Linked DNA regions of Elephas maximus indicus. The protein of the gene in region 2 interacts with the protein of the main gene of each other region in a biochemical or structural test. Links are inferred from orthologs where the notes say so. Each region holds a gene or a part of one and is shown on either strand. Other genes may lie near its edges. The genes, in order: IPO11, UBE2E1, TRIM32 and UBR7.

Region 1 (7,893 bases), on a different chromosome or scaffold from region 2:
TTCCAAGGCTGCCATCTTTACAGAAGCCAACTGCCACGTCTTTCGCCCATGGAGCAGTTGGTGGGTTCGAATCACCAACCCTTCGGCTACCATCTGAGTGCTTAACCATTGCACCACCAGGGCTCCTTATGAGAGGCTTACATATGTTTAAATTCTGCCTAGTGCCAGTTGAAACTGAAAAAGAGGTAACTGAGGAAAATTCGTCACTGAGGAGAAAAAACCTGAAGCACAATTAAGAGACAGACACGTAGAGGAAGACATGTTCGCAGGTGAAAGAGGAGAGAAAGCAATGAAATTCCCACCCAATGCATTTTCTCTGTGAAGAAGATAATATTATCATGGAGAGTAAGGAGGGAAGACAGTAGGTTAATAGCCATCATGGAAAATAGGAGCAGTTACTAGCCACACAAAGTTTATAATTGTGTGCTTATCTGTAATTAGCCTGATATTTAGAAAGTCAAAGACCCACCAGGCTCGCACGTGCACTAAATGTGTCTTACCGTGCTGAAATTAACTATAATGCCCATTTGGTACAAATAAAGGGGGAAAAATCATTATCACCATTAGTAACACTAAATTCAGAGGAATGAGAACACACACTTGGGAACACATATGCACATACATACAAAGGTTAAAATCCTAAATTACCAAACCAAACCAAATCCACTGCCAGTCGAGTCGATTCCATTACACAGCAACCCTGTAAGACAGGGCAGAACTGTCCCAAAGGGTTTCCAAGGAGCGCCTGGGGGATTCACGCTGATGACCTTTTGATTTGCAAGCCGTAGCTCACCAGGGTTTCCCTTAAACAAATCAGCTTTCCCAAAACAGAAATATTTTTATCTCTGAAATATGCATATTTCTGGAAAAATCTTCAGTATATTTGAACTGCCACATGTCCACCAGGATTATTCTACATTCTAGTTTGGTCCTGAATGCAAATACATATATACTGTCATAAAATCTAAATATTTTTATATTAATTACAAAATAATCTTTACGTATTTGTTATAACAGAACTTCCACTCAAAATGTTTACGGTAAAAAATTTCTTCTGCTTTAGGCACGGAAAGTAGGGCAAAGACAGGTCCCTGTCCTAGGGCAATTAGTGCATGGCCACAAACCACAGCTATAATTAAACCGTTTGCAGTATTCCCTGTGCTAGGTTCCAGGGGAAGAATTACAATCCTATAGCAAAAAGGAAAGGAAATTCTCATTCTAATTTCACATAAATCTTCCTCAGTGAAGAAAGATGTCAGAAAAGATCTGATGCAATGGATGTCTCAGAAAGCAGAGTCACTCTCCTTAACCTGAAGCCTCTGCACTAAACAGAGAAGTTTGAAATAACGTGAAAATAGAGGAGCTGCCTTACCCAAGAAAAAAAATATATATATATTATTGCAGTAAAGTGCTCTTGCTTACTCCCTCCCGAAAAATAACCAAATTTCAAGGGCACTACTGCCCTAGAAAGGAGCCCTTGTGATTACAGTGCTCAGAAGCTAACCAAAAGGTCAGCTGTTGGAATCCACCAGCCACTCTGCAGAAGAAAGATATGGTGATCTGCTTCTGTAAAGATTAACCCATTGCCATGGAGTCAATTCTGACTCATAGGGACCCTACAGAACAGAGTACAACTGCCCTAAGGGATTTCCCAGGAGTAGCTCATGGATCTGAACGGTCAACTTTCTGATTAGCAGCCAAGCTCTTGACCAGTATGCCACCAGGTATTCTCCACAAAGACTGCAGCCCTGGAAACCCTATGAGGCAGTTCTACTCTGTCTTAAAGGGTCACAATGAGCTGAAATTGACTTGATGGCAATGGTTTTTTTTTGGTTTTTTGTTTTGTTTTTTGGTCATACTGGAGAGGAGGCCTGATGGCACAGCAGTTAAGCGCTGACTTTCTGGCAGCAGTCTGAACTCACCAGTCGCTCTGTGGGAGAAAGATCCAGCAGTCTTGTTTCTGTAAAGATTTACAGGCTTGGGAAACATATGGGACAGTTCTATTCCACTCACAGGGTCACTAGGAGTTGGAATTGACTTAAGAGCAATGGGTTTAGTTTTGTTGTTGTTGACCACACTAGAAATGAGTTCCTTTAAAACGGGAATGGGGGAAGTATGTCATGTGCCACCTTAGCACCAGCAGGCAATTTACCAATTCTAGCAATTTAGTCAAATCACTTTGAGATAAGAAAGGTAAATCCCTCACCCACCATGTCATAAAATGGAGAAAAATAACAAATGCAAAAGACCTCAAAACGTATTTACTGCATGAAATACCCCCAAATATAAAACTGCAAGGAGTCGCTGGGCTTGAGCGTTGGCGACCATACCTCAGCATGAAGCTCCTCTCATATGTACCTTTCTTTACTTTTCCATTAATAACAAGGGAAGGGTATAACGCTTAAAGCTTTCACAGAATTGCCATTACAGTGTCATATAAGCCAAAAAAAAAAAAAAAACCCACTGGTTTTACACTACAGACCATCACGTTCTCTCAAAATCTGCACTACCTATCCCGCAAGAGCAAATGCATCATCCTGGCCCGCAACCGGAGCCCCAATGGGTATCCTCCGCTCTCCTCATCTTGGCACACGGTCCTTGCCTCCCAGCGCCCTATTCCTCCGCGGCCATGCTTCTCCACCCCGGGCTCACTCGGTGCGCGCCCAGCTCCCAGAGGTTCCTACGGTTATGCAGAAAGCCACGCCTGCAGGCCGCCCTCGCCTCGCCACTGCTATCCCTTGTCCCCGATAGCCCCACGTTCCTCGGGTCTCCGCTGCCCAACCCACTCCTCCCTTCCGCTCGCGTGCGCTCGGGGACTGTCAGGCCGGGGCCTCACCGTTTGATTCGGTCCGGAATGGCCCGGCTCTCCTGCTCCTACTCCCGAACACGAAGCGGCGTCGGTTGGTCCCACGCCCCGCGCTTCTAGTCCACACGCCGCCGCCTACTGATGTCGAAAGCCGCTTCTAGGAACACGCCATGTTCAGCGTCGCAGCTCCAAACGACGCGGACGCGCGAAAACTGCGTCACAGGCACCAAAGCGCATGGAAGGGCAAAGAAAGAAGGCGATAGGCTAGGGGCAGGAAGAGGAGGGAGGGGCTTCCTCATCTAAGGCAGAGGCGTCCGTTGTGGAAATCAGGGTATGCGCTTGCTCAGTACTTGTAGGTGGGACCCTGGAAGCGGCCAGATCCGTAACCATAGAAACCGTACTTTCTGTTGCCCCATTCCCAGGAAAATCGAGTATCGTCTTGGTTGGCTGAAGCTTAAACCAGGACTATGTCCCCTTTCCTATTCCACTCATAGGGTCGCTATGAGTCCGAATCGACATGACGGGAATGGGCTTGATATTCTACACGTAGGGAGCTCTGGTGGTGCAACGATTAAATGCTCGACTGCTTAACCATAAGTCTTAAAGGTTCTAAATCCCCCAAGCGGCCCCAGCCAAGAAAACTCTATGGGGCAGTTTGACTCTGTCGCATTAAAATTTTTTTTTTTTAGCAGCAAAGAAAAATTATTACAATATAAGTTCCAGAACTTGCTGGGGGCTCTACTCCATAGGGATAGTAAGGGCGGAATAATTTTAAAAGGAAATCCAGTCCTGCCTGCCTCTGCCTATGTTACTAGCTGGATGACCTAAGTTTTCTTATCATCTTGTCATTAAAAAGAAAAATTAGGAGTGTTCATAAAGATCAATAATATTTGGTGACATTTATTGAGAACTTAAAGTGTGCCAGGTACAATTCTAAGATCTTTACGTGAATCATCTATTTTAATCTTCAAATCAACCCTATGAGGTATATGCCCCTATTATGCCCATTTTACAGATGAGGAAACTGAAGCGCAGAGAAGTAACCTGCCTGAAGTCACACAGCTAGTAAGTGACAGTGTTAGGATTCGAACAAGGCTATAATAATAAGCCCTGTATTACAAGAACGTTCATCACACAAGGGCTTTTTTTTTTTTTAAGTAAAAAGATAAATATTCCCTAAATTACCACCAAGAAAGAGATTAAATAATCCACATATAATTAAATATAAATTGGTCATTAAAAATGACCACTTAACTTTTAAAAATGTTTAAATGTATTTGTTCACATGTTAACATTCACAATGCATCATTGAGTGAAAAAAGTGGTTTACAAAACCGTATGTTCAGTAAGGTTCCATTTTTGGAAATAAATATGTATAGGAGGGTTTGAAAGAGTTTTATATGCCATTGTGTTAAGTGTCTATCACTAATTGGATGGTATTGTAGGCATGTTTTATTTTCTTTTTGCTTGACTGTATCTTCTGATTTTACTGAAAGGTAGCACATCTCAAACTTTAAGTGTGCATAGAATCACTTGGGGATCTTGTTAAAATACAGACCCTGATTCAGTTGGTCTGAGATAGGGCCTGAGAGTCTTCATGTCTAACATGTTTTTAGGTGATGCCAGTGCTGCTGCTCCATGGATCACACTTGGAGTAACAAGGTATAAAGAATGTGTAGTAAGTAAAAAAATAATAAATTACCTAATTCAAATTAAAAGGAAGAAATTGGTTTAGAAAAGTAAATCTTAACCTATTGGAATAATAGATGCTTTAGGAATCTAGGAAGTGGAGTAGTGGTTAAGTCTCACAGTCTAGAAGGCTACAAGTCGAAATTCAGGGTGCCAGCTCCAGGGGAAGGCTTTCTCTCTCTGTCAGCTCTGAGGGAAGGTCCTTGTCATCAATCTTCCAGTCTTCTCGGTGGAGGAGCTTCTCAGTGCAAGGAACCCTGGATCCAGAGGACACCCGATTCTCCTGGCTCCTGTTTCTTGGTGGTGTGAGGTTCCCCTGTCTCTCTGCTTGCTTCTCTTTTTTTATATCTCAAAAGAGTCCTGCCTCATTAACATAACTGCCTCTAATCCTGCACTATTAACATCATAAAACCAAACAAACCAAACCCGATGCCTTTGATTCCATAGTGACCCAATAGGACGGAGAAGAACTGCCCCATCGGGTTTCCAAGGAACAGCTGGTGGATCTGAATTGCTGACCTTTTGGTTAGCAGCCTTAGCTCTTAACCACTGTGCCACCAGGGCCCCCATTAACATCACAGGGGTAGGATTTACAACACATAGGAAAATCATATCAAATCACAAAATGGTGGATAGCTACACAATACCGGGAATCATGGCCTAGCCAGGTTGACACATATTTTTGGGATACACAATTCAATCCACGACAGGTGGTGATGAGGATTAATAAAATAAATCATATAAAATGTTTACAGTTCAATACTTGGTACATGAAAAAAAACACACTTAGAATAGTGGCACATACTAAATATTTAATAAAAGTTAGTTATAATAATATAATTATTTTGAAGTGAAATGAGTTGCATTGTCATTGTACTTATTTTCTTGGAATCTACTTGAGCCTGAGGGGTGAGGGATGCCAATGTTTCAATTAATTTAGCAATTGCTTCAACTTTCTCCTTTCCTGTTTCAATTATTAACCATACGTTGGGGGAAACACGGAATTTATATTTCAGAAATATCCTGAACACACAATAAAAAAAGAAAAAAAAATATCCTGAACAGACACAATACCAGTTCAGAACCCCAAAAGACTTTAATTTGTATGCATTTTTTGCCCTTTCCTCCAAAGAATCTGGGAATATGGCAATGAAATGCAGTAGCATGAAATTATTTATCAAGCTATGCATATTGTTTTGTATGTAGTATATGACTAGATTTTGGACTCATAGTAGCTGTAGATGGAACTTCCAAGTGTATGGAAAATTTTTGCATGTGCATTTTTCTACGTCGTAGACTTTTTCCTTAGATCCCCAAACCAAAAACCCATAGTGGTTGAGTCAATTCTGACTCATAGTGGCCTTATAGGACAGAGTAGAACTGCCCCGTAGAGTATCCAAGGAGTGCCTGGTGGATTCCAACTACTGACCTTTAGGTTAGTAGCCATAGCTCTTAATTACTACTCCACTTCCTAGATTCCTAAAGGGTCCATTATTCCAACTGCATGAGCCACTTCCTTGATATGGTTCATGAATTCTATGAGATCCTGTAGTGAATTATAGAACCCAAAGACAGGAGGGAGAGTAGTTGATATTAGAGATGATGGAGTAGTACAGAAATTTGGAAGAGTTGGAAATTTGGGATTTCTTTAACTTTGTGCTTTGTGCGGTTCCTTAGAAAAGAAATTATTTAAGTGAGTTTTATATACAGTATGATCTCAACTATGTAAAAACATGTGTTGCTAAAATACTAAAAGAAAATTAAAAAAAAAATGCCAAAACACCCATCAAAGCTATCAGTGGGTAGTGAGGTTATAGGTAATTTTTTCACCTTCTTTCTACTTTCTGTATTTTCTAGTTTTTTTTTTTAAGTTAAGCTTCTTCATTTGTTGTTGTTGATGATGTTATTTTGTTTTCAATGTGGTAGTCTTATCTTTGGAGTCCAGGAAACATATTAGCTTTATGTACTACATCTCTGTGATTAATTTTTACTTTGGATATATCTGATTCTTAAATTCATGATAATCAAAGATTTAATTTTTTAACTATATTTTAGAATCTACTGAATTTTACATTATATTGATGTTAAAAGGTAAAATTCATTAAAACTGTATTTAGGATGTCTCAACTGGTATGTTTTGTTTCCTTGCCCATCTACCAGTGAGGAAGGTGTTTGACTGATGTGACTGGAATTGGAGACCAACAGAGCCCATAGCAGGCAAGACGGTATCCTGTTGTGGCAAGAGCATGGTGTCCCACTCCCACCTCTACTACTTGTAGGACTTGAGCAAGTATTTATAATCTCTATGGGACTAAATTGTAAGGAGTCCTGGTAATGCCGTGGTTAAGTGCTTGGCTGCTAACAAAAAGGTAGGCAACTGCTCTGCAGGAGAAAGACTAAAAAAAAAAAGGTAGGCAACTGCTCTGCAGGAGAAAGAGTACAGCCTTGGAAACCCTATGGAGCAGCTCTACTGTGTCCTATAGGATTGCTGTGAGTCAAACTTGACTTGACGACAGTGGGCTTTTTAATGAGACTCAATTTTCTTGACTATAAAATAGGGTAATCATGGTTGGGTTACTTGCCCTACCAACTTCACAGAGTTTCACTGAAAATCAAATTTTTTTGAAAGCGCTTTGAAAACTGAAAAACACAATATAAAACTAGAATCTATTTTAGAGTTCTCAGTACCATAATACATTTTTTGTTTTGCTAGGTTTGTAAAGTTTGAAAAACATTTTGAAACATATATATTATTTTACGGTAATGATATGAAAACATGCATCTAACAGGTGCTTTTGGAATATTGAGTTATCATTAATATTCACTGACAATGCTTAGACTCATGCTGGTATTAAACAGAGGCTATACTCTTCTTAATTAATTGCACCAATTTAAGATAGTATTTATGATGACCTGAAAAAAAATTAGAACATGTTTATAGAAAAATGTTGCTTATGATATTCAAAATGCATTATTTTTCCCAGCCAAATTTCATTACATTTTTCTGTTAACATTTAGACAGAAGAGTAGAAATTAAGTCTTCCGGTACTCTTTGAAATTGTCCTGCTTTGTAAAGCAGCACATCATTTTAGTATTTAAATAACAATAATGTTTAATTGTTCTAAACAAATCCAATGGCTTGATATTAGATTTCAATTTTATTTTATCTTGCCCAGCTGGATTATATCCCTTAATCATAAAACCCCCTTAATCATAGGAACACGGTATTTCAGTGCTAATGAATTGGTGTTAAAAGTGTGAAATTTAAACATTCTCAATGTTTTTATGACTTTTCAATACATTAAACATCTATAAGGAACTATTTTATATAAGATGCTCACAAAATTTTATTTTTATTCTCTATTACGCCCCTTTTTTAAACTTCAATGTATTTATTA
Region 2 (7,868 bases):
CTGTCTGAATGAGGATCAGGGAGTCCAGAGGCTGCCCTGGGGAGCTTAAGGAAGGCCTCATCCAAAGCGGGCAGGGTTAGATACCAGGGTTCTGAAAGAACTAAAGAACTAGCTAGCACTGGGTTAATCAATGAGGACTCCTGGGAAGCTGAGATGCAATCAAACCAACCCTCTGAAAAGGGGAAATACCTTGCAAAAAACACCTTAGCACTTAAATCTCTACACTATTTAAAATAAAAAGTCATTCCCTTCATCAGCACTTTACCAACTTTTCAAATTTCAAGTCAGGGAAAATGACAAAACAAACTCTTGAACTCTTGAGTTCTGGCTTACTACTCAACGGAGAGACCTAAGTCTCAGGTTCCATTTTATTTTAAATTCCTTTAAGAAAGACATCCCTATCTAACCCACCATTCAGATTCCTTACTATCTTCCTAAACTAAAACCAAAACCAAACCTGTTGCCAGCAAGTCAATTCTGACTCATAGCAACCCTACAGGACAGAGTAGAGCTGCCCCATAGGGTTTCCAAGGAGCGACTGGTGGATTCAAACTGCCGATCTTTTGGTTAGCAGCTGAGCTCTTAACCACTGCGCCACCAGGGTGCCACTGTTTTCCTAGTATGCCACTTTAACGTTTAATAACTGTTTACCAGAGAGCAGAAGGATTTATGAAAAGGTGTCTGGGGGTTCCCAGAAATCTGCTATAGATTATTTTAAGGGTCACAGGAATCCGAGGATATTACTAAAGGATGACAGAGGTAAAAAGTGGCTTTCTCCAGAGATGTAAGAGGAAAAAAGTAAGGAAAAAGAGCCACTGCTTTAATTCAACTTGGAAAAAAATAGTAGCATTTTTACAGCATAAGACAGCACGAAAAAACTGCGTTTTCCTACAATTGGTAACGTGAAGTTCTTAAAGAGAAAAAAAATTAAGGATCCCAGAAATAACCTACAATACACCAGCTTACAATCATTTATTGCTTCATTCATTTGCGTCAACTCTCCAAACCAGAAAAATCCCTTTAAATTCCATCAGGAATCCTGTCTTCAACTTCTAAAATTTCTACCCCACTGATGTATTTATTCTTTATGCAATTTTTGGATAAATTACTATTCAACAAAGATCAGGCGTGCAACAGGTGAGAAGGAAGTAAGACATTTTGATAGGGAGTTATCTGGGCAGGTATTAGTGATTAAGAAGTGGGACGGCAGCCGTGAGGAGAGTTACAGATTAGCGATTAATAAAACCAGTAACCTGAAATGGGGTTTGGGGGTCACTATTAAAAGCAATGAGGATTCTTACAAACTTCAACAAGAAACGCGAGAGGCAAGCCACAGCGGCTGCATGTGGGCAATGATTAAAAGAAAAACAGAACAAGCAACGGAGAGAATAATTAGGGCCTCCCAGGCCCCTTTTTCATTTGTAAGGACACACAAACCAGGAGGGGCACTTTAGCTACCCTCTTTGGGAGCTAAACCGAATGCAGCAGAGGCGTTCAGAAAAATAGGAAGCCGGTGGAAAAGCGTACGGTACCTCTTGGCGCTGGTGGAGAGGAGCTTGGAGTTTTTACTCATGCTGACTTTACTCTCCTTCTTCTTGGGGGTGTTTGTTTCTTTCTCGGTTTGCTGGTTGGAGGAAGAAGATGAGGAGGAGCTGGTGCTGGCCCTCGAATCGTCATCCGACATAGCGAACCCCCCACCCCACCCCGCAAACAGCCCCTGGAGGAGGAGGGAAACAAAACAGACACACGTAAACCAGGCAGGCAGTGTGAATAGGGAACTCGGGTGCTGTCAGGAAGGCACGGGGCAGGGGTGCACCCAGCCGCCCACCTCCCTCTTATTGCTTTCAAAGTCTCTAGGCCCATTAAGGCTTCGGCAAATCGGACGCGGCTTGTTTGTTTATTTTGGGCCCCAAGTAGAGGACGCCGGGGGAAACGGTCCGGAGCTACGAGGGCAGCCCCTCCCTCGCCCCCCGGGGCTCCCCTCTGGGCACGGAGGGGGGAGGCCGAGGGGGCGGAGGAGGAGGGCAGGGCAGGGGCGCGGGGCGCCTCGACGAGGCGAGGAGGAAAGACCCGGGCGGCCGGGTGGCCTTCGGACTGTTCTGTGCGCTTCCTGGGGGTCGCGGGGGCCTGTGGCCCCGGCAAGGCTGCGGGGCCGGGAGCGGAGTTTGGCGAGGTCGGGAAGAGAGGAGGGGCGGGAGGAGTAAGAGAGGAAGCCGAAACCGGGGGACGGAGGCGGGGAACGGGTGCCCGGGTGGGGGAAGGGAGAGGCCGGCGGGGACAGGGGCGACGAGGCCCGAGGCCCCCCACGCCGCGCCCGACGCCCCTCCCTGTCGGCCTGCCCCTCAGCCGCCCGGCTCCGGGCTCCGCGGCCAGGGCGGGGGTCCTGAGCCCACGCCCGATCGCCACCTCTAGGAGGTGGGGGGTTCGGGTGTGTGGGGGGGTTGGCCTCCGCAGAGAAGGAATAACAATGAGCTCGTCCGCCCCGGAGGGGTTAATCCCCGCGGGCCCCCGCCCGGGGGGAAAACGAGGCTCCCCCAACTCCCCCACCCCCCGCTCCCGGCCCCCTCAGTGGCCAGTGGGGGGCTCCCGGGACGGCGCTGACAGTTCAAGCCACAATGCCCCCCTCGCCCCCGACGCGGCGGCCCCCGCACCCCACGCGGCCCGGGGTCCCTGCCCATCCCCCGCGGGCGGGCCCCGGACCCCTGGGGCTCCCCGGCCCCTCGCCCCTCCTCAGCCCCGTGCCCGGCGGCCCGGGCGGCGCGGCTTGGGGGAGGCGGCAAGGGGTGTCCCCGAGGCCCGGCGGCGCGGCCGGGGGGCGGCGGGCGACGGGGGGATCCCCGTACCTCTCTTTGTGTCTGGCTCCTCCGTGCCGCCGCGGCGGCTGCTGCTGCGGCTGCGGCTGGGCCTGGCCACTCGTGTCTCTCTCTCGCTGGGAGAGAAGCGGAAGTGCAGCAACAGCAACTATTAAACAGGCAATGGCTTCCCCCAGCCACACACGCTCGCACACACACTCCTCCTCCTCCTCACCCCTCCCCCACCCGCCCGGTCCCACCCACCCGCGCTCCCTCCCCCTGCACCTCCGGGAGCGGGGGGACGGGGAGGACACGGGGGACCCCGGGAAACCCTGTCCCCCTCCCCATCCACACCTGCACCCCCACCGGGCGCCTCCTTCGGACGCCCGGGAAGGGGCGAGGGGTGTGAATTTTCTCTTACGGGGTTTGGGATCTGGATCCTGGGTAGGAGACGGGGAGCTGGTCCGAGACGGGGGGCGCTGGGAGCGGCTGGTACTAGCTGGAATAGAGGTGCGGGGGGTCACTAGAGAAGAAGTTCTTTCCACAGAGGGCTTTTGGAAAAGGCGTTTGGCAAATTGGTGAATAAGACGGTAATCTCATGCCTAAGACTTGGGACTAGAGAGTGCAATGGAAACTCCTAAAAAGTGATCAGTTTAAGGGGAAAAAAGAAATCCCACAAAAGGGATTTCCCTTTGGGCTGACACTTGCTTCTCTCTCTGGCAATTTACCTGGTAGGAGCAGAGGTCAGTTTAGTTAGACACGCCTCTGAGAAAATCCCAAACTGGGACTTTTCTGCTCCAGGGCATGAGGCATGTACAATTCTAAATTTTAGATTCTTCACGTCACATTTTATAGAAAGTGATGTGGGTTTTTGAAAGTGATACAAATGATTTCATGACAGGTAAGAGCAGAGGGTTACAGGTTTATGAATGTGAGAAATCACTGGGAATAAATCATATACTGAATTAGACTAGATTTAGCGTTTTTGGGCGTCAGCATTGGATATAAAGTTTGATTTTTGGAAATTCGCTAGGAAGTTCTGGGGACCCCTGTACCTACTTCAGCTACAACATAAATGCTATTCAAATAATAATATTTTTAGAATAATCAGTAATTCTTCTAAATTGTTCCTCGTTTAGCATTTTAAATAAGATTGACTTTCTATTATTAAGCCACCAAATTACTCTTCAGTTTCTCACCTATTTGTCATTTCAGTTGAAGGGAAATGAAGAGATATATACCATCCAAATACAAGTGACACACTCACAGGATCTTTACATTAAGGAGACAGCCTAGTCAGAGTTCCATGGGTCACTCTAAATTATCTCATTCAAATTACCATCATTTCCCGTGGCAACAGTGGTTTCAGTCACCATATACACAAGATATAAAGCCCATGACATATCCAGTAACCAGGAAAACAAGGATTCTCACCGCCCAGCTTAACCCCTTCTACTCTTCATCCTGAAACTCCAACTTCATCAAGACTCATAAAGCAATAATAGCGTATGATTCTTGTTCAGTCCCTACTAGGAAACCTGTATCTACCAGGTATTGCCATAGAATCAAGGAGTCCAAAAGGTGGAGGAAACCTCGTAGTCATCACTTCAGCCTCCTGCCCAGTCAGAGCTATCCCTTAACCACCAAAATGCATATCGATTTTGAAAAGATCCCCGGACAACTTTTCTTAGTGTTTGGTTTCAGGAGTCCTGGTAGACCATACAAAAATAATGACATTCCCTGCTGTATGGTCCTTAAAAACAAAAAATCTCCTAGAAAACAGGTTGTAGACTTTGTGTACATCTGACGAAAAAGTTCAACAGAAAACAATAAGCAAACAGATGAAATAAACTTAGTTGGGGGTGAAGAAAATAATCTTACGAAAATTTGGATTTCTGATGCTTTAAAATCCAATCCTGCACTATGATTACAACTAGTAAAAAAAATTGTATATGTAATTATATATATTAAAAAAAGCCAATTATATGTATATGTATATATAAAGACAAGACCTGGTAGGATCACAGGAAAATAAAAAATTTGATTTGCTGAAGTGACTGGGATGGTGGTATATTTTTTCTTTAAGTTTGATTTCTATAAATCGTATACCTGAATACTGTCTTAGTTATCTATGAGTGCTGCTATAACAGAAATACCACAAATGTGTGGCTTTAACAAACAGAAATTTATTTTCTCACAGTTTAGGGGGCTAGAAGGCCGAATTCAGGGAGCCGGCTCTAGGGGAAGGCTTTCTTTCTTTTTCAGCTGTCTCTTTGAGCTCCTGCTCCTGGGCCATCTTCTTGTGGCTTGGCATTTCTCTTCCCCCATCCTTGCTTCTTTCCCTTGTTCTTTTAATCTCTTTTATACATTAAAAGAGATTGATTTAAGACACACCCTATACTAATCCTCTCTCATTAACATAACAAAGACGACCCGTTCCCAAATGGGATTATAACCACAGGCATAGAGGTCAGGATTTACAAAACATACTTTTGGGGGACACAATTCAATCTATAACAGATACTATGATAATTTTTTTTTTTAACTGAGCATGGTATTTTCTGTTTCATTGTTGATGCCTGGGTTGGATTGGTCCCCGGGGAAATAAACCATGTAATCTAAGGGCTCCTCCTACATAGGGAGTGCTTTCCCAAGCACAGGTCTGGAAGGATACCAGCCCTCCCTTGTGTACCATTCCCTCTTATCTCTAACACACACTAACCCCCGGTTAGTGCTTTATGGTTTTGGAATGACCTACTGAGTCGGGTATAAAAACCTCAAAATGCTTAGAAAAGAATTCACTGTTCTTGAAAGTCTAATCTTTAGGTCATGTTATTTTAAATACACTGTTGTCTCATAGAGAAAAAAAAAAAATTTGTTTGCAACCCTCTAGCTCTTCTACATATTAACTACAAGGCCTAAGACCTGAAGTCACCTCTCTGAGCCTCAGTTTCCTCATCTCTAAAGGGCTGGGATACCTGCACTATGTGGCCCGGCAAAGCTATTGTAAGGATCAGTGTGTGTCTGTAATGAAGGTGGCTTATTAACTGTTACACAAAGTAAATTATTAATAATCCCACCTAGGTCCTACTTCTCCAGAATGCTGTTAGGGCACCTAAAGAGTGTATGGTGAGAACTTAAGAAACCCTCTGAAGTGAAAGATAGTCAAGGAATCATAGGATTTTACCACTACAATAAAATCAAAAACCAAACCCGGTGCTGTCAAATCTATTCCAACTCATAGCAACCCTATAGGACAGAATAGAACTGCCCCATAGGGTTTCCAAGGAGTGGCTAGTGGATTTGAACTGCCAGTCTTTGGGTTAGCAGCCGAGTCCCTCACCACTGCACCACCAGGGCTCCAGTACTAGACAGGACCTGAGAAATCTTCTAGTTCAAACTCCTCATGTTACAAATGAAGAAAATAAGGCAAAGAAAGCCAAGGTCATGCAGTGAGTCGGTGGCAGAACTGTGGCTATGGCCCCTGCTGCCCACAGATGATTTTGTCAGTCCTGGAAAATCCATTACACTGGAGGCAAATATTATACATGAAAGAACTTTGGTAATATTTCCAAGAATATATTATCAAGACATAGTTGGGAAAGGGGAAAAAATGGGAGGGAATCACCTGAATTTTTAACATTCACTTGAACCAATGGATGACTGCCATTGAAGTTCCTTGCTTGCCATCCGGAGAGTAAGCCTCCTTGGTTATTTGTTTTACATTTATGAACATATTTTGAACAGGCAATCCATTCTCATGCTTTATGATTCAAAAGATACCAAAGGATATGTCAGGGAAGAGCCCTCAGCTCTTCCTTCCAATCCCTCTTATTTCCCTCTTCAGGGCAGTTTTCTGCGTATCCTTGCTCGTATAATCTACGCATGTGCAAGCAAACGCGTGTACATACACTGAATTCATCAACAGAAATGCTCAACTGACATTTAAAAGATGCGTCCAATCACAGAAGCCCAAGTGGGGCAGCACTGCAACATCCACGGGCTTTGAGAAAGGGGGCTCCAGTGTTTGCTAGTACCTATTCCTGGTTCTCAGAATGATCCAGCTCTCTTCTTCAAGTCATCTTTAGAGTATCAAGTGCTTTTAAGTAAAGTACTTGAAGATCAAGGTGCTTACAGTCATAGGCTGATCCCTAGAAGGTGAAAGAACAAGAATTCCCACCCTTGGGAGGACACGGCTACAGTTGATTTAAAAGAGACCCAGTTTAACTTTCCAGCACTCTTATTTTTGGCCAGTTGCTTATGACAAACAGTATTTCATAAAGATGACCATTCTGTTTGGCCAATTTCATATCCAAACAGTTGTCAAGTAAATTAGCATTTGCTAATATATATATATATTTAATCTTACTTTATAGCTGGTAGAAAGGATTTCCTTTTTCTGCAAAAAAAAAAAAATTGATTTGAAATTAAGAATTTCTATAAAGAATTTCTGGAAGGATGGATTCACTGCAGATTTCAGGACATCTGTTTCATTTTATTATACTCCTTTGGCTGAAAATATTCATTCCTTATACAGAAAAATAAGAAAGTTCTGCAAAGAAGGGCCTGTTCCATGAGGCCTTAGATCTGGGGCTTTTATCTTTAATACAGGTCATTTTTCCATGGACTTATTAAAAAAAAAAAAAAAGAAACACTGATATACCTTTGAAGGACCCTAAACATTGTCTGACTTTATTGGGCCTGAATATGACTATTACAGGAAGCTAGGACAGAACTAAATTATTTTTTCTACCACATGGAGGCATTGAACACCATGTGATTTTCAAAATTTACCATCACTTGATTAAGAATCAAATGCTTTTTTTCAGAGAAAAAATCAAGCAAGGGCAAAAAGGTTTGTTTGATGTCCACAAATGGATAATGGTTAATATTAAAGCAATTGTCTCAATTTATAATTTAGGGTTGCCTCTGTGAGGCCTATTCTCTAAACAAGCTAACCTCTTTCAACCTTCTGTACATTGATAACACAAGGACAGATTATATTGGAATATATTGTATTGCAGTTTGAACAGTTCGGTTCATTAGTCTCTGAAACCTTTTCCTGAACTTAACACC
Region 3 (7,928 bases), on a different chromosome or scaffold from region 2:
TAGAACCAATTAGACAGTTAGATAGATAATAAGAAAGGCAGAGAAGCACTGAAAGAGGGGAAAAGGTACAGAGGGAGAGAAGAAGGGAGGGAAAGATGGAGGAAAGACAAAAGAGGAAAGGAAAGAAGGATGGAAAAAAGGAAGAAATGAAGAAAGTAAGGTGGGAGAGATGGAGGAAGAAAGAGAGGAAGGGACAAAAGGAAAAAGATAGGGAGGGAGGGAGGAAAAAGTAAGGGAGGAAGGAAAGGAAAAAGAGAACAGGGGAGCTAGGCAGACAGGTAAGTAGGCAGCCAGCCACTAAGATGGTCCCCAGTGATTCCCTCTTTCTGGTATTTACTAGCCTGTATAATCCTCTCCCCTTGAGCAACTTGCTTCTAGCCAATAGAATAGAGATTGAGGACATGTCACTTCTGTGGTTAGATTATAAAAAATCATGACTTCTGTCTTGCTAAGAGGTTCTCTTGTGCTGTCTTTGATGAAGCAAGCTGTCACATAGAGGCCCATGGGGCAAGAAACTGAGGGTAGCCTCTAGCCAACAGGCAGCAAGGAAGCGAGGCTCTCAGTTCAACAACCCTGAATTCAGCCAACAACCACGTAAGTGAGCTTGGACGTGGATCCTTCCCCAGTTGAGCTTTCAGATGAGACTCCAGCCCTGGCCAACAACTTGATTGCAGCCTTATGAGAGGCCATGATGCCGAGGACCCAGCTAAGCTGCACTTGAAGTCCTGACTTACAGAAACTGTAATATAATAAATGTGTGTTGTTTTAAGCTACAAACTTGTAATTTGTTATGGAGTAATAGATAAGTAATACAGAGAGACAGATATAATTTTATATTACTTCATGGGAGTGCTAGTAATTATAAACCTCTAGACTCAGACAAACTCTGTTAGGATGTACTAGTGTTTTAACTCCTTATATTTTCTTCCCTACGTTATATAATCAAGAAATGTCTCTTCCCCTTCAAACTTCAGTTGCTAAATGGTAAAAAAAAAAAAAAGGGGGGGGGGAGAATATTTTGTTGAGAAAAGTCATAGTGATAATGATAATGACAGTAAAAAATGATAACTGTAACTAACACTCAGCACTTATTCTTTATCAGGCAGCGTTCTAAGTCCTTTGGATCTATTAAACCATCTAACATTCCCAACATTCCTACCTGGTTGTTGTTGTTGGCTGTCAGCCATTAAGTTGGCCCCCAACTCGTGGTGACCTTGTGCATAATAAAATTAAACACCGCTCAGTCCTGTGCAATCCCTATGTTCAGTTGTGGATCGGACTGTTGTGATCCATTCAATTCTCAATGGCTGATTTTTGGAAGTAGATCTCCCCAGGCCCTTCTTCCTAGTCCATCTTAGTCTGGAAGCTCTGACAAAATCTGTTCAGCATCATAGCAACACCCAAGCCTCCACTGGCTAACTGGTGATGGCTCTGCACGAGGTGCATTGGCCAGGAATTGAACCTAGGTCTCCCGCATGGAAGGTGAGAATTCTACCACGGAACCACTTTTATACTACTACTATTATTTTATACTACTACAACTACTATTATACCTCTTTTGCAGAGGAGAAAAGTTAAGTAAATAGAGACTGAATAACTTGTCCAAGGTTACACGTTTGTTAGTTACAAAAAGTTACCAAGCATTACTTCAAATCACCTTCTCCTCTATTCCCTAACAAACTTCGCAGGTGAGTGTAGCTGAAATTCTAACCTAGATCTGTCTGACTCCAAACCCCTTGCTCTTCTCACTACAGAATGATGTATTTAATAAGTAAATGTATTTATCATAATAATAAATGCAATATAACGAACACTTCTACATGTTAAGCAAAGAGCTAAGCTTTTTACATCCAATATCTCATTTCGCTCCTGATAATCATCTGAGTTAGTTATTGTTATCCCCGTTTTGAAGAGAATAAAAAAGGCATTAAGCTAAGAACCTCCTTTGTAAGTGAAGAAAACAATACTTAACTCATAGAATGGTTTAAATGTTGAGTCAGAGTATGTTACGTTAAAGTGCTGAATAAAGAATATTTAAAGTGCTCCACAAAGAATATTTTTTAAATGTATCCATGTCTAAGGAATGCTAATATTGTGCCAGGTTGTGCAAACCCACAGGACAAAAAATGAGTGATATCCCCGGAGTGTTTATTTTACTGTGAGATCATGTGGTAATTAATTGAACTTGTAAGTAATTTAAACATTAAAAAAAAACACCATCAAGCAAACACTGTTTTTTTGTTTGTTTTTTAAGGGAAAAGAGAGGTGTTTTGTTTTTGTTTTAAATGGCATGCCTGAGCTACATCCCCAGACTGTTAGGAGTACTGTGAGCTCTCTTCTGTGATTGGGGAAACATCAGTATATATATATGAACAGTTTTTAACTGAAACTCTGGGCTGATAACTGTGGTTTTCAGCAACCAGGCTGCTAAATCTCCCTTCCACCACCACCTACTTGAGAAGGGGATATAACTCAGGTCTCAGGGCAGGAAAAAATGATTTGACAGCAACCCTCCCATATCCCCCACCTGCAATACAGGGGTTGGGAGAAATACTGCAGGCCCCATTCAGAGGGGCTCCCTGCCCATTCTATGGAGCAGGCCACACTGAGTCTCCAACATGGCAGAAACCTAGAAGCCCAGCCCACTGCCATCGAGTAGATTCCAACTCATAATCCCTGCTCTTTTCCGACGCTTCTGCTCAGAACAGCTCATCCCAGAGCCCTTGCCTTGGCAGGCTCACAGTCTGTGGTCAAAATGACAGCAAAGATTTGCCCTTTATTCTGTTTTTCCAAGTACTATGAATTCTTTCGCTCTTACACCAAATCTTACTTAATAAAATAGGAAGATAGCTGGTGTCATAATATGTGGGCATAGTCTTTCAGTGACTGTATGGGGCATATCATGAGCCTGATGAGCCTGGGTTTATAGCCCGGCTCTACCACTTCCTAGGTAATGACTACAAGAAAACTAGTGAATCTTTCAGAGCCTTGGTTGCCTCTTCTGTAAGCTGGTGCTACTGATAGCTACTGGAAAAGTTGTTGAGAAAACTAATTGCGACTTGTGACAATATATGTGAAATGCCTGGCATATTGCCTGTGCTCGAAAAACAGCAGCTCTTACCTGACTGACCCCCCCCCCCCCGCCCCAGGTCACACAGGACATGTGATTTGCCTAAGGTCACATTTCAGAATCTGACTCACTTAGTAACTCTTAGGTGCTGGGCTCTGTGCTAGCTGGTGCGACTACGAACAGGCATTGCCCTTCAGGGAGTTCACAGGTCTGGAGAAGATCACCTGTAAGTAGATAACTTAAGGCCAACCTTGTATATGCTGCATGAGAAGTCATCAACTTGAAACTCCTGCAGCTTGCTGAACATGCAATGAACACCTCAGAACTCCCAGGAGCCCAGGAAGGTGGGAGAAGCAAGCACCCTGGTCCCCTGGCCCTCTGAGGTTTTTGTCTGCACCCACCAGCTGCCAATTCTGAGCAAAACCTACCCTGGGCCCTGTAGTACCAGACTGGGCTCCCTCCTCAGTCCAGTCCTGAACTCAACCTATACTTGGCCTATCTGCTAAAACCCCAGATGGCAAGTTCATCACTGGGGCCTGAGCCTCAGAGCTCTATTGCAACCCGTGAGTCCAGAAACACCAGGCCTGTTCAGCACATGCCATGAAGTACACCAAGCCAGGCTCCTGTTGGCCTCAATATTCCAGAAGCTGAGGCTTTTCAAACCAGCAGTTCGGAGGATGTGAGAGCTGATCTTAATTTTTAAAAAAGCAGCTACCGTTAATTAAGTACAAACCATTATACTTCTATAATCTCAGTTAATCCGTATAGCAAACCTCATCTCCATTTAGAGATTAAAAACAAAAAAAGTTAAAAAGCGAAGTTTCTCAGAACTGAGTAAAATCTGGGCTCTGATACTAATAAGCATGTGGCCTTCTTATTCAACCATCTAGGCATCAGCTGCCTTTTCTCACTGGGTCATGGTAAAGAGTAAGTGAGTTATGTCTATGAAGTGCTCACCATACCTGCAGTCAGACATTAAATGCTCAAAGGATGTTCTACAATCCTTGCTGGTTGTTTTATCATTGTTCAGCATCACATAGCTCAATGGGATTTTAAACCCAAGCTCATCCTACTTCAAAACTATATAGTATTATCCATAACTTTATAGTATGGTCATCTGCAGGGGCAGGTAGCTGGACTCAAACAATCTAACTGGCTGCAGATCTTGGTCAAGCAATAGGTCAGACTGCCTCCCACCTGTGAGGGGTCTACCCTTCAGTCTGCAGGGTCAGGAGCTGTAGTGTGTGTCTCCGCATCTACCTCTGCTATCAGCCTCCCTTCTGAGTAGGTGAAAAACTCCTTCACAATAGAAAACTGTTTACAGATAAGCTTGTCTCTAATAAGCAGTGTGTCATAGAAATAGGGAAACCAGGCACTGCCCTTCTAAGAAATCCAGGTTCTGTGCCTGCCCCAGAATGAAAGTTTTATTCTTGCCTTGACCCTTTTCTCAGACTGGGACGCTGAGGTTCAGAGAGGCTTTTCTCTGAGTTGCCCAGGCTCAAAGGAGAACTACTCCTGGTGATCGCCTTTTAATGAAAGGGTTAAGATATTGGGATTTGGAGTCAGTCACGCGCCTGCAGGTTTGGCTCCTGACTCGTCGAGTGGATATGGGCAGGACCCATATGCCCTTGGGCCTCAGTTTCTTAATTTACACAATGGAGACAGAAAACTGGATTAAGCATGGTTTACAGCCCCACTTCTTGCTCTCACCTGGCCCTAGAGCCCCGAGCTAGGGCTAGCCCGACTACAAGCCCCGGCATGCCTCGGGAGGGCGGAGCCCAGTGAAGGACAGGCGGTTTTGCCAATCGGCGCCGGTCAAGGAGCGCGCGGCGGCGCGTGCGCAGAGGGCGGGGGCGGGTGGGCTGGCGGCGGTGGACGCGTCGGAGCTGCGGGAGGTCAGGTAGGGGGCGGGCAGGAGGGTCGGGGACAAGAGACCCTGGCCCGAGTCGCGGACAACGGCTGAGCGGCGGGGAGGGGGGCTGTGCTGGCGTGTAGAGGCTGGGCCCGCGCCCGACTAGCAGGGTCTGGGGATCGGATCTGAGGAGTAGCTCTGGGGTGGGGGTGGGGGTGGGGCAGTGAGGGGCAGGCTCCGGAGGGATTCGATGTGGCTGAAGATCTCAGGGGAGATGCAGCGCTTGGGGCGGAGGCGAGGGTGGGGTGGGGTGCGAAGACTTGCTGTGCAACATCTCAGGAGGTATGAGGTAATACGGGGGCCCGGAGGAGACGGGGTGCAGCATCTGGTAGGTTCGGGGAATCTAAGGGCCTTGGAAGGGTTTGGGGGTGCAGGATTTCGGAAATAAGAGGGAATCGGGGTCCCTGATGAGATTTAGGGTGCAACATCTCAGGAGATTCGAGGAAATCTCGGGACGCCAGGCATTTGTTTGGGCAGGGCAAGATCTGAGATCAAAAGGAGCAGGGTCTGAGGCGATCCTAATTGCTAAAGAGGGAGGGTTTTCCTGAGTAGGATCTGGGAAAAATTGAAGTGGGGAGTTCTTGGGGGAATCAGAGGGAAGCAACATCTTGTTAGAAAAAAGAAGAGACCTGGCTAAGATTTGAAAGCAACACATGACATGGGATGGGTGAAAGGAGAAGGAGCAAGGTTTGAGGATGGCACAGTGCCTGGTAGAATACAGAGAATGGAGGATAAGATCAAGAGAGAGCAGAAATCTGAGGTGTGGGATCAGGGTGTTTGGAAGGAGTTGGGGTACAGGGCTGAAGGCTTCAGAGATTTGGAAACGGATTAAGGGGTCTTTATCAAAGGAATTTGGGATGCATGGGTGAAGAATTGGCGAAGGTTGCAATGTAGAGCCCAAAAGGTTAGACTCTTGTATTGTGAGATGGTTTGGAACACAATTTGGAGAGGATTGAACAGGTTGCAGAATTAAAGGACTCTGAATAGGTCTGTGGGTTGGCGACTTGGGCTGCTAAAAGAATTTTCTTGAAATCTCTACATGGGAAGCAAAAGGAGTTTGGGGACCCAAGAACCTAGAAGTAATATGGAAGTGTATATATGAGTATGAGTTCAGGGGTTCAGGAATGAAGTTATAGATCATCAGAGATCAGGACTCCTGAAGAAGCATGACTTCCCCTCAGAGGGGCAGAATCTCCTTCACTTTTCCAGCAAATATCCCTTGTCATGAGGCTGGCATGGTACACCACTAACTCCACTCTGACCCTGGGCCAGCTGAAAGTGGTAGACTTTGGGGAGAAGATATTGGTGAAAGGGAGGATAAAGCAGAAAACTGTTCAAGGCCATCCTTCTAGGTCCTGTCTTCCCTACCCCTACCTCTGCACCATGGAGGTGCTAGCAGATAGTGTGTGAGATGTCCAGGGAAATGAGTGAAACATTATCTCAGGCCTTATTTTCCTCATCAGCTAAATAAAGTGGATTGAATTAGATCATATTATTAAAAAAGAAATTGTTGCTGTCGAGTCGATTTCAACTCATAGTGACCCCGTATATAAAAAATAATAATAATAATTAGGACCCATTTAAAAACCAAAGAGTCAGTGGCTTTGTGAATGAGGTGTTTGTTTTGGCTGGGAGAAGGGCAAGAAAAAGGGAGCTCAGGGTTCAGCATTTAATCCTTTGCAAGTCTCTAGAGCAGTGGTTCTTAACTATGGGTGATTTTGTCCAGCAGGGGACAGTTGGCAATGTCTGGAGATGTTTTTTGGCTGTCAGAATAGGGGTTTGGGGTACCGCTGGCACCCAGGGGGAAGAGGCCAGGGATGCTGCTAAACTTCTTACAATGCCCAGGAAAGCCCCCAGAACAAAGGATTATCCAGCTGAAAATGTCAATAGTGCCAAAGTTAAGAAACCCTACTGTAGAGTCATATCTGAGGTTCTAATGCTGGCTCTGTTTCTTCTGATTTAGTAATCTTGAGTGAGTTATTTAATCTCTTTGCCTTGGCTCTTCATTTGTAAAATGGGGTTCTTAACAGGACCTACATCATAGAATTATTGTGTGAATTCAGTGAAGTGAGTCAGGGTGCCCCGTGTGTGGCATATAGCAAATATACAATAAATTTGGCAATTTTTAGTTTTTATATCCACTTTTCCAGTTTTCACAACAGTCTTATTAAGTGTCTCTATTATATCCAGTTTTACACATGAGGGAACTAAAGCTTAGAAAAGGGAAGCTACTTGCCCAAAGTTTCATAGCTAGCAGTGAAGTCAGAGCTAGGCTCATATCCAGATCTCTGTAGCTGTATATTCTCTCTTTTCCTTGCTTCTTTTTTTTGTGGGGGCCTGTTTAGTCTTATTATCTCAGCCCATTCCCCTTCAAAGTAAAGGAGGATTGTCCAGTTGGTATCAGTGAATATCAAACAGAACCCTAGAAGGGGTATTCTATATGATTAGGTAGGGAGTAACCGTGGACTTTGTTCTTGGTTTGCTATTAGACCAGGACCAATGGGTGGATAAGGGGAGGAGCTTAGGTTAGCAAGCAGGATGAGGTGCATGGGACCAGAGGGTGAGGTATGGAGGCCCTTGGCTTAAAAAAAAATACAACCGCATAGCAGGGAAGGCAGGAAGCTGAAGGCCATCAAACCAAAGGAGAGTAATTACTGTTCTGAATGATCTCTTTTGGGCTTCTTTCCCCTGGGACAGAATAGCCACACTGGCTCTCTCAGCTCAAAGACTAAGCTACTTAAAGCATTGCTGAAGCCAGCACAGAAACAGCTGGATTGGATCTGAGGGCAAGAGACTCAGCTGGAATACCTCACCCTCCCCAAGGGAAATATTTAATGAGCATTGAATCGGCCTGGGAATCAGAGGCCTGAAGTCCAGTGTCCTTACTCTCCTGCTAATTTACTGTGTGACCTTGGACAAGGACTTGTCCTATCTGCCTCAATCTGT
Region 4 (7,561 bases), on a different chromosome or scaffold from region 2:
TATCTACGTACACGTAACTATATCTACATACATGTAAATAGATGTAAAACAATGGCAGAGAAGAATGAGTAGCTTCAGCTTGTACCACAGTTATATCTTAAAAGGCCCTCTAGAAAAATTACCTTCTCTAATTACATTATATAAAATAATTATATTAAATGTCACTAGTGCACAACTACTTTTAAGGGAAAAACAAAATTAAGAAAAAAAAGTGCAGCTGGGAAAGGAGCATTCAGTAACAATCTCTGACTGGCTTTACCTTTTCGTATATAGCTCAAAAAGTTTATGACTTCCATGGCATTCGTAACTGCAAGCTAGGCAAATCCCAGCTGGTTCTTCTCCCTCTGGGGTGCACGTACTACAGGCATATAGTGCTTGTCTCTTTACTGAGCCCTAAAAGACAGCCCCAAAATGGAGAGAGAGAGGATGAATTAATAAAATATGGCATAGTTACCTAATACGTATACTAACATCTGAGAAATAATTAAAATCAGATTACCTGTGGTCAATATCTTCCTGTAAAAACCACCGAGAAGTGTTGCATGTTTCATACCACTATACATGTACTACACTATGCTTATTTACATACAGTTTCTTCTTAAAGTGATAAGAAGTCTTAAAATTTCAGTCAACTGTGAACAAGTTGTTCTGGTTAATCATTTTAGCACATGAAAACACAGGAGAATGCGAGTACCCAGTTATATCACACCTTAATTTTGGAAAAGGCTTATAATTCTACAAAAGAAATCAATGCATTCTTAGGAGATGCATGCTGAAGTATTTAGAGGTGCAGTGTCATGATATCTGCAACTTCTTTTCAAATGGTTCAGTCAAAAAGAAAAAAAAAAAGGAAAGTGTTAGAGATAAAACAAGGAATGTATGTGAGAGGTATACAGGTGTTCATAATCTTCTATTTGCAGGTTTAAAAAATTTCAAAATACAAATTTGAAGGGGAAAAAAGGTAAAACTTATGCTTTTAGAAAGCGTGATAATGGTTACCCTCCTGTAGGGAGGAGGGAGAGACACAGGGAGGCTTCTGGGATGCCAGTAATGTTCTATTTCTTGATCTGGGTGGTAGGTATATGGACGTGGTCACTCTTTTTCAGAGCCATACTCATGTTTTGTGCAATTAGCCATTAAAAAAAAAACACAAAACCACTGCTGGATTTTTTTTAGCATAATTTGCCATTATGCTACAATAAAGAAAGAATTTTAATTAAAGCTAACTTTCATAAAGCTAACTACATTTCAAAAATAGTGTACAAACAGACTTAGGACCTATCACCATTTTTTAAAAGGACAGTAAATGTTGTTTCAGTGGTGATCAGAGGTTTTAAAGTACCAGCCAACAGCTGGATGCCAGGTTTACTCAACAATCTAACCACTTTACAGTGCAAATTCAACTTGGTCATTGATGACAACTGGCATTATGATCTCAGTGCACACCACATGATGACAGCAAGTCTCTCTCCTCATCCCCCAATGTTCCACTCGACCCTCCTGTCTAGGTAACCTTCCTCCTATAAATTCACACTCCTTGTTTCCTCCTGTCCACCTTTCTCCACTTTGATACCTAGAAATATAGGATGAGTCGCTGAACACTACATCGGACCCTCTCGAACCCTTGTTCACAACGTCTTCCAAATGTCAAATTTCCTCTTCCAACATATTCTTTCCTTTTCTCCTCTCCCTGCCCCGCTTGCCAGTGTCACCTGCTGTTCTGGCTCCAGTCTATTTCCAAGGCCGGCAGACTACAGGCAGCCATGGCACTTGCTTCATTTCACCACAAAAGTACAAGCATCTGCCAAACTAAACGGCAGAGAGGAACTAGCTGTTCAGCAGCCCACGCCACACAGGGCAGCTTTCAAATCCAGAGCTCTTTTAACCCTGCTTTGACTCTCCTGATAAATATCTAGTGGTTTTGATCAAAGATCCTATAGAAGTATCCTGATCAAAAGGAAGAAAATGCAGAACAGAATTTCAAAATGTCATGAACTCCAGACTTTCTGGAGCTATGGAGGCTGGATGAACCCCTGAAACTATTGCCCTGATATCATCTTTAAGCCTTACATCAAAAATATCTCCTGAAGTCTTCTTAAAACCAAGCAATAGTTTAGCTTAACTAGTAAAAAAGGTCTGCCTTGAGCATTATGCTCTTTTAAGAACTACCTATATGGGATCAAACTGACAACGGTAACTTGAAAAATCAGATAGGAAACTTAGGAGGCAGTGAGTTTATGTTAATGGGGAGCAACTCAGAAGAGGAGGGTGAGACTGGCTGCACAAGTTGAAGAATGCAATCAATGTCATCGAATTGTACACGTAGAAACTGTTGAATCGGTGTCTGCTTCGCAGCGTGTATTCTCAACAACAAAATAAATAAAAGTTTAAAAAAAAAAAAAACCTAATGGTTCTGTTCTTAATAAATGCCCTTAGAATGGGAGAAGTAGAAACAAAGATGTCTGGATTTGAGAAGTCACGGGGATGGTTTCCTAAGAAGTGGCTGGGCTACCAAGAAGACACTGGAGATGGACTGAGCAGCCGCTCCAGGGTCAAGCCTGGAGAATCCCGAGCGCTGGATGGAGGAAGACTGCGGGAGGAGAAAGGCTGGGCACAGAACGACAAAGGGGCCCTGGGAGGATAAAGGCGCATCCGGGCCTGGAGCGGGAACCCCAGAGGCGAACATCGGCCCTGGACCAGCCCAGGGGAGACGACCGAGGCGCCTGGAACTGGGAGTCTGGCCGGGAGGGGTGGCTCAGCGGGAGCCGGAGGGGACTTGAGGCCCGGGCCGCGCGCCCACCTGCGAATAGGAGCACTTCTCGGAGTCGCTGCCGCCCAGCACAGCGCACGCCTCATTCTCCAGTTCCTCGTCCTCCTCAAGGACGTCGACCAACGATACCACAGGCTCCAGCTCCGAATGCCGCCCAGCGGAGCCCTCTGCTCCGGCCATCCTCAACTGTCACCCGGCTCGCAGCTCTGCCCCGGCGGAGGCGGGAAAAGCGGCCGCGAGAGGCGTAGCCGGAGGAGGCGGGGCCTGAGTCCCGGGAACCAATCCCCAAAAAGGGAAGTGTCCGACGGGGGAGGAGCGACTCGGGACAAACGGAAGTCACTCCTCTCCCTGCTCCCGCCCGCGCCCGCAGGGGCCTGATTTCCGCTTCCGGGTGACGTGTTCTTGTGGCGCGCGCTTGAAGCTCGGCAGTCGCTATGGAGCTGCTAGGGGAGTACATAGGGCAGGACGGGCAACGGCTGCGGCTGCGGGTGTCTTGTGAGGCGCCGGACGACGGCAACCCTTTGCAGGGCCTGTTGTCGGGGGTGGTTCAGATGAGGGAAAGGGTGGCCGAGCTCCTTGGTCCCCTGGTACAGCGGGAAGCGCAGGACCCGTTGGCTGCGGCTGGAGACGAGGCCTTGGACGGTGAGTTCTGAGGCGAGGCTGAGCGGCTGGGGGGCGGGGCGGGGCGGGACGCTCGGGGAGACTCTCAGGGGAGCCTTGTGGAGTGGCGGACTTGGGGAAGGGGAGCCCTCGATGGAAGGAGTACTCCCTCTAAAAATTGTCGGCACTCACGGCCATGTGTATCTAGGCTGTTTATATTGAAGTGTTTTCACAACTTTATCCCCCAGAACGTGCTGAACGCGCCTACTCTGTCAGGCACTGGGCTGAGCTAGAGAAAGAATGAGGTGAATGGAGTCCCCTTGTGGAACTCACAGGCAGATGAGGGACTAGACAGGTAAACACTGTATTAAGGAGTGAAAGTATAAATCCTGTGCCTTCTGTAACTATTGCAAACCGAGAGAAGGCTTCAGAGAGGGCATCCCTACTTCTGATCTCAGTGTTGAGGATGAAAGGAGTGTTACCAGGTGCGAGATGGCTCACGTGTTTGGAAGACTGCAAGGTATCGCAGATTCCGAAGATTGAAACAGACTTCAGTTTAACAAGTCTTAACTGAGGAACTCCTTTTTTATATCCTGGCTTTGTAGGTGGTTGTTTGGAAGTAAAAACGTGAAATTTAACTGCATTAACTTTTAACAATCTTGTCTGGAATACAAAAACGGGTGGATTTTGACTGCCTGAGCTGAAAAACCTAAGAACTAAATATTGGAGTCGGGATTTCTTCCATAGATGAGCTTAAACAGTACTGTCCCTCTTGTTTTCCCCTTGATAGTTCTGGATAATGTGGAGAGATCAATTCAGGACATTACACTGAGTTCAAGATAATAGATTGTTTCCATGAGTACGTTAATTGGTGGTTGCCACATATATTGAGAGTTAAGTCCTGTTTCTTGGCTCTCTAATCTGTTAAAAATGTTATAACGTAAGAACAAGAGTATAATAGCTAGAGCTATTTTTTAAAAATCTATCATTACTTATTGGAAAATAACTACCATTTGTCCTGCTGATAATAAGTCAGTAATAGGAGGACATGTTTTTATATATTTAATGATCAAGTTTTTTGCTTTTGCAAAAAACGATAGAGCTTAAAATGATGGACTTTATGTGAATTATATCTCAAAAAGTATGCAAAAATAAAAATTATAACAGCTGCTAAAAAAAGTGACAGAATGCAACCCTTGAAAGACAAATAACCCATTTTTGAAATGGGCAAAACATTTGAATAGACAGTTCTCTAAGATATACAAATGGCCAATAAGCGCATGAAAAGCTGCTTAACGTCATTAGCCGTCAGGAAAATGCAAATCAAAACCACAGTGATTAATGGTGATGGGTGAAAAACGTGATGAACGTGTTTGTATTTAATGTCACTGAACTGTGCACGTGAAGATTGTTGAAATGACAAGTGTTTTGTTACCTATATATATACTGTCATTTTAAGAAGTTGAGCTACCACTTCATACCTACTAGGATGGCTATAGTGAAAAAGATGACAATAACAAGTATCAGTGAGGACGTGGAGAAAGTGGAACCTTCATACCTTGCTGGTGAGAATGTTAAATGGTGTACCTGCTTTGGAAAGCAGTTTGGTTTTTCCTCAAAAAGTTAAACATAAAATTTCCGTATGACCCAATAATCCCACTCCTAGTCTGTATCCAAGAGAAATGAAAACATGAATTCACACAAAAACTTGTACACAAATTTTCAAAGCAATATTATTTATTATAGCCAGAAATTGGAAACACCCCAAATGTCTATCAACTAATGAATGGGTAGACAAATGTGTATCCATCCAATGGAACAGCACTCAGCAATAAAAAGAAATGAAGTACTGATACATGCTACGACATGGGTGAACCTCGAAACCATTACGCTGAATGAAAGAAGTCAGACGCAGAAGGTCGTGTATTGTATAATTCCTTTTATATTAAAAGTCCAGAACAGGCAAATCCATAGAGACAGAAAATAGATCAGTGGTTGCCAAGGGCTGGGGTGGGAATAATGACGAGAGACTGATGATGAATAGGGGCTTTCTTTTTGGGGTGATGAAAATGTGCTAGAATTAGATAGTGGTGATGGTTGTGCGACCTTGTGAGTGTACTAAAAAAAAAAATAAAGACACTTTAAAAGAGTGTTATAGTATGTGAATTATATCTCCAAAAAAAAAGTGATAGAAAAGTTTTAGGTTATAAATTTCTAAAAATTTTTAATCATACGTATTTTGAATCTGAGATATGCATGGTTTTATTAATTCCAAAACTGAAATGGTTTCTATCAACCATTTTAAAGATCTATATTTCTTTTGAACCATTGAACATTTTATCATACAACAAATATTTATTTTAAAAGGTGATGGTGAAGATGATGCAGAAGATGAAAATAACATTGATAACAGAACTAACTCAGATGGACCATCTGCAAAACGGCCAAAACCACCGTCTTAACAATAGCTTTTATGAAATTTAAACTGAAAGACTGCTACTGTCCTAATTATCACACCCTGACATTTCAGGAAGACTTGTGCCCTAATTTGGAAAAGCATCTGTTTTGTTCTCCTGGGGGAGTTTTGTCAAAGAAAAAGCTTCTGTTTACAGCAAAGATATAATAAATGCTTAGAAATAAATCTTGAGTGAGAAAGAAAATTTAGACTGTGGAAATAAAATAGCACCGTTGAATTAAATGTGTGATGTCTATATCTTTTAACTTCTGCTTCTGTTATAAAAAGTACATAACATTTCAAGAACTAACATGAGCAAGTGGCAAAAGTTGGGTATTATAAATGTAAGTGTGGTGGCTCTTTACACGGAGAAGGAAAATTAGGGCATAGAGAGAAATACAGAAGAGAAAGAGCCTTTGAGAGAGAACCAAACCAAAAAACAAAACAAAACAAAACCGTTGCCGTTGAGTCGATTCTGACTCATAGTGACGCTATGGGATAAAGTAGAACTACCCAGTAGGATTTCCAAGGAGTAGCTGGTGGATTCGAACTGCCGACATTTTGGTTAGCAGCTGTAGCTCTTAACCACTGCACAATTAGGACTCCTGAGAGAGCCCCAGACCAACCAACCAAACCCATTACGTCAAGTCGATTCTGTAGGACAGAGTAGAACTGCCCCATAGAGTTTCCAAGGAGCGCCTGGTGGATTTGAACTGCCGACCTTTCGGTTAGCAGCTGTAGCACTTAACCGCTACACCACCAGGCTTCCAAGGAAACCTTAAATCCACACTCACACCCAAAATGTAGACATCTTACCACTCAATAAATATGTATTAATCACCTGGTTTAACTTGTGCCTTAAGGGCCAGATGGGAGGCCTTAAGTTAATCTGTTGACTAGAGCCATTTCCTTTCCTCTTGTAGCCATACTTGCGTAACAGGACTATTGATTTCTTTTAAAAATAGATATTCCTAAAATAGTGTGTTCCTTTTCTACTTGTTAGTAGGACTAAGGCATTTTGATTTACCGTACATCTTTCCTGATTTATTTAGATTGCTAAAGTGCGAATGAATGCAAAGATATCAAGTAGCGTGTACCCTAATGAAATGCAAAGCCATAGAATTTTTCAATTGGAAATAACCTTAAAAATTATGGTTTACTTCAGAAATAAACTGAATCTCAGAATAAGTATTTGCCCTGAGTTACACAGCTAACCGTTGGCAGAGCTGAGTTACATACATAGCCTTTCGCCATGTTTTTAAGCTGATAAAAAGAGAAATCAAATTCCCTTGCTTTGTCTAGTATCAGGACTTCAGCTCAGTTACTGATTATAATAATCTTGTATCGGTATATGATTCTTAAAAAAACTTAACCCTATAGAATTAAAATAGATCGTATTTTTAAATTGCTAGCAGAACTTTGCTCCCTGAGTATTTTATGCTTCCTTTGATCAGTAAATGTATAAAGGAGAAATGTCAAGATAATATTGGTGCTTGTGGCCCAGTGTTTTGAGATTCTGGGTTATAGGTTTGATTGATCTTTTCCTTAATTTTCATACTGATTCAGATTGTAATACCGTCTTCAGAAGCGGGCAGCCTCTGTGACAAAAAGGATCAGTTTGAAGAACCAGTGTGGAAGCGGGCCACCTCTGTGACAAAAAGGATCGGTTTGAAGAACCAGTGCGGAAGCGGGCCACCTCTGTGACAAAAAGGATCAGTTGGAAGAACCAGTGTGGA

Evidence for each region.
Region 1: the proteins of UBE2E1 (region 2) and IPO11 form a complex in vitro, tested with the Homo sapiens proteins (2 studies listed by BioGRID). The link is inferred for Elephas maximus indicus from reciprocal best matches to the Homo sapiens genes UBE2E1 and IPO11.
Region 3: the proteins of UBE2E1 (region 2) and TRIM32 form a complex in vitro, tested with the Homo sapiens proteins (2 studies listed by BioGRID). The link is inferred for Elephas maximus indicus from reciprocal best matches to the Homo sapiens genes UBE2E1 and TRIM32.
Region 4: the proteins of UBE2E1 (region 2) and UBR7 form a complex in vitro, tested with the Homo sapiens proteins (2 studies listed by BioGRID). The link is inferred for Elephas maximus indicus from reciprocal best matches to the Homo sapiens genes UBE2E1 and UBR7.

Annotation. Positions count from the first base shown.
Region 1 is NC_064820.1:66,951,250-66,959,142, reverse strand, and holds the start of IPO11 (importin-11), read right to left. Parts: upstream 3,017-7,893; 5' UTR 2,837-3,016; intron 1-2,836. UniProt on the Homo sapiens protein: Functions in nuclear protein import as nuclear transport receptor. Serves as receptor for nuclear localization signals (NLS) in cargo substrates.
Region 2 is NC_064845.1:15,869,586-15,877,453, forward strand, and holds the start of UBE2E1 (ubiquitin-conjugating enzyme E2 E1), read right to left. Parts: upstream 3,011-7,868; 5' UTR 2,844-3,010; intron 1,718-2,843; 5' UTR 1,685-1,717; coding exon 1,533-1,684; intron 1-1,532. UniProt on the Homo sapiens protein: Accepts ubiquitin from the E1 complex and catalyzes its covalent attachment to other proteins. Catalyzes the covalent attachment of ISG15 to other proteins. Mediates the selective degradation of short-lived and abnormal proteins.
Region 3 is NC_064827.1:66,202,667-66,210,594, forward strand, and holds the start of TRIM32 (E3 ubiquitin-protein ligase TRIM32), read left to right. Parts: upstream 1-4,914; 5' UTR 4,915-4,970; intron 4,971-5,297; exon of another isoform or gene 5,298-7,928. UniProt on the Homo sapiens protein: E3 ubiquitin ligase that plays a role in various biological processes including neural stem cell differentiation, innate immunity, inflammatory resonse and autophagy.
Region 4 is NC_064828.1:106,785,688-106,793,248, reverse strand, and holds the start of UBR7 (putative E3 ubiquitin-protein ligase UBR7), read right to left. Parts: upstream 3,008-7,561; 5' UTR 2,951-3,007; coding exon 2,801-2,950; intron 394-2,800; coding exon 260-393; intron 1-259. Other genes in the region: EKC/KEOPS complex subunit GON7, read left to right, coding at 3,205-3,412, 5,738-5,832. UniProt on the Homo sapiens protein: E3 ubiquitin-protein ligase which is a component of the N-end rule pathway. Recognizes and binds to proteins bearing specific N-terminal residues that are destabilizing according to the N-end rule, leading to their ubiquitination and subsequent degradation.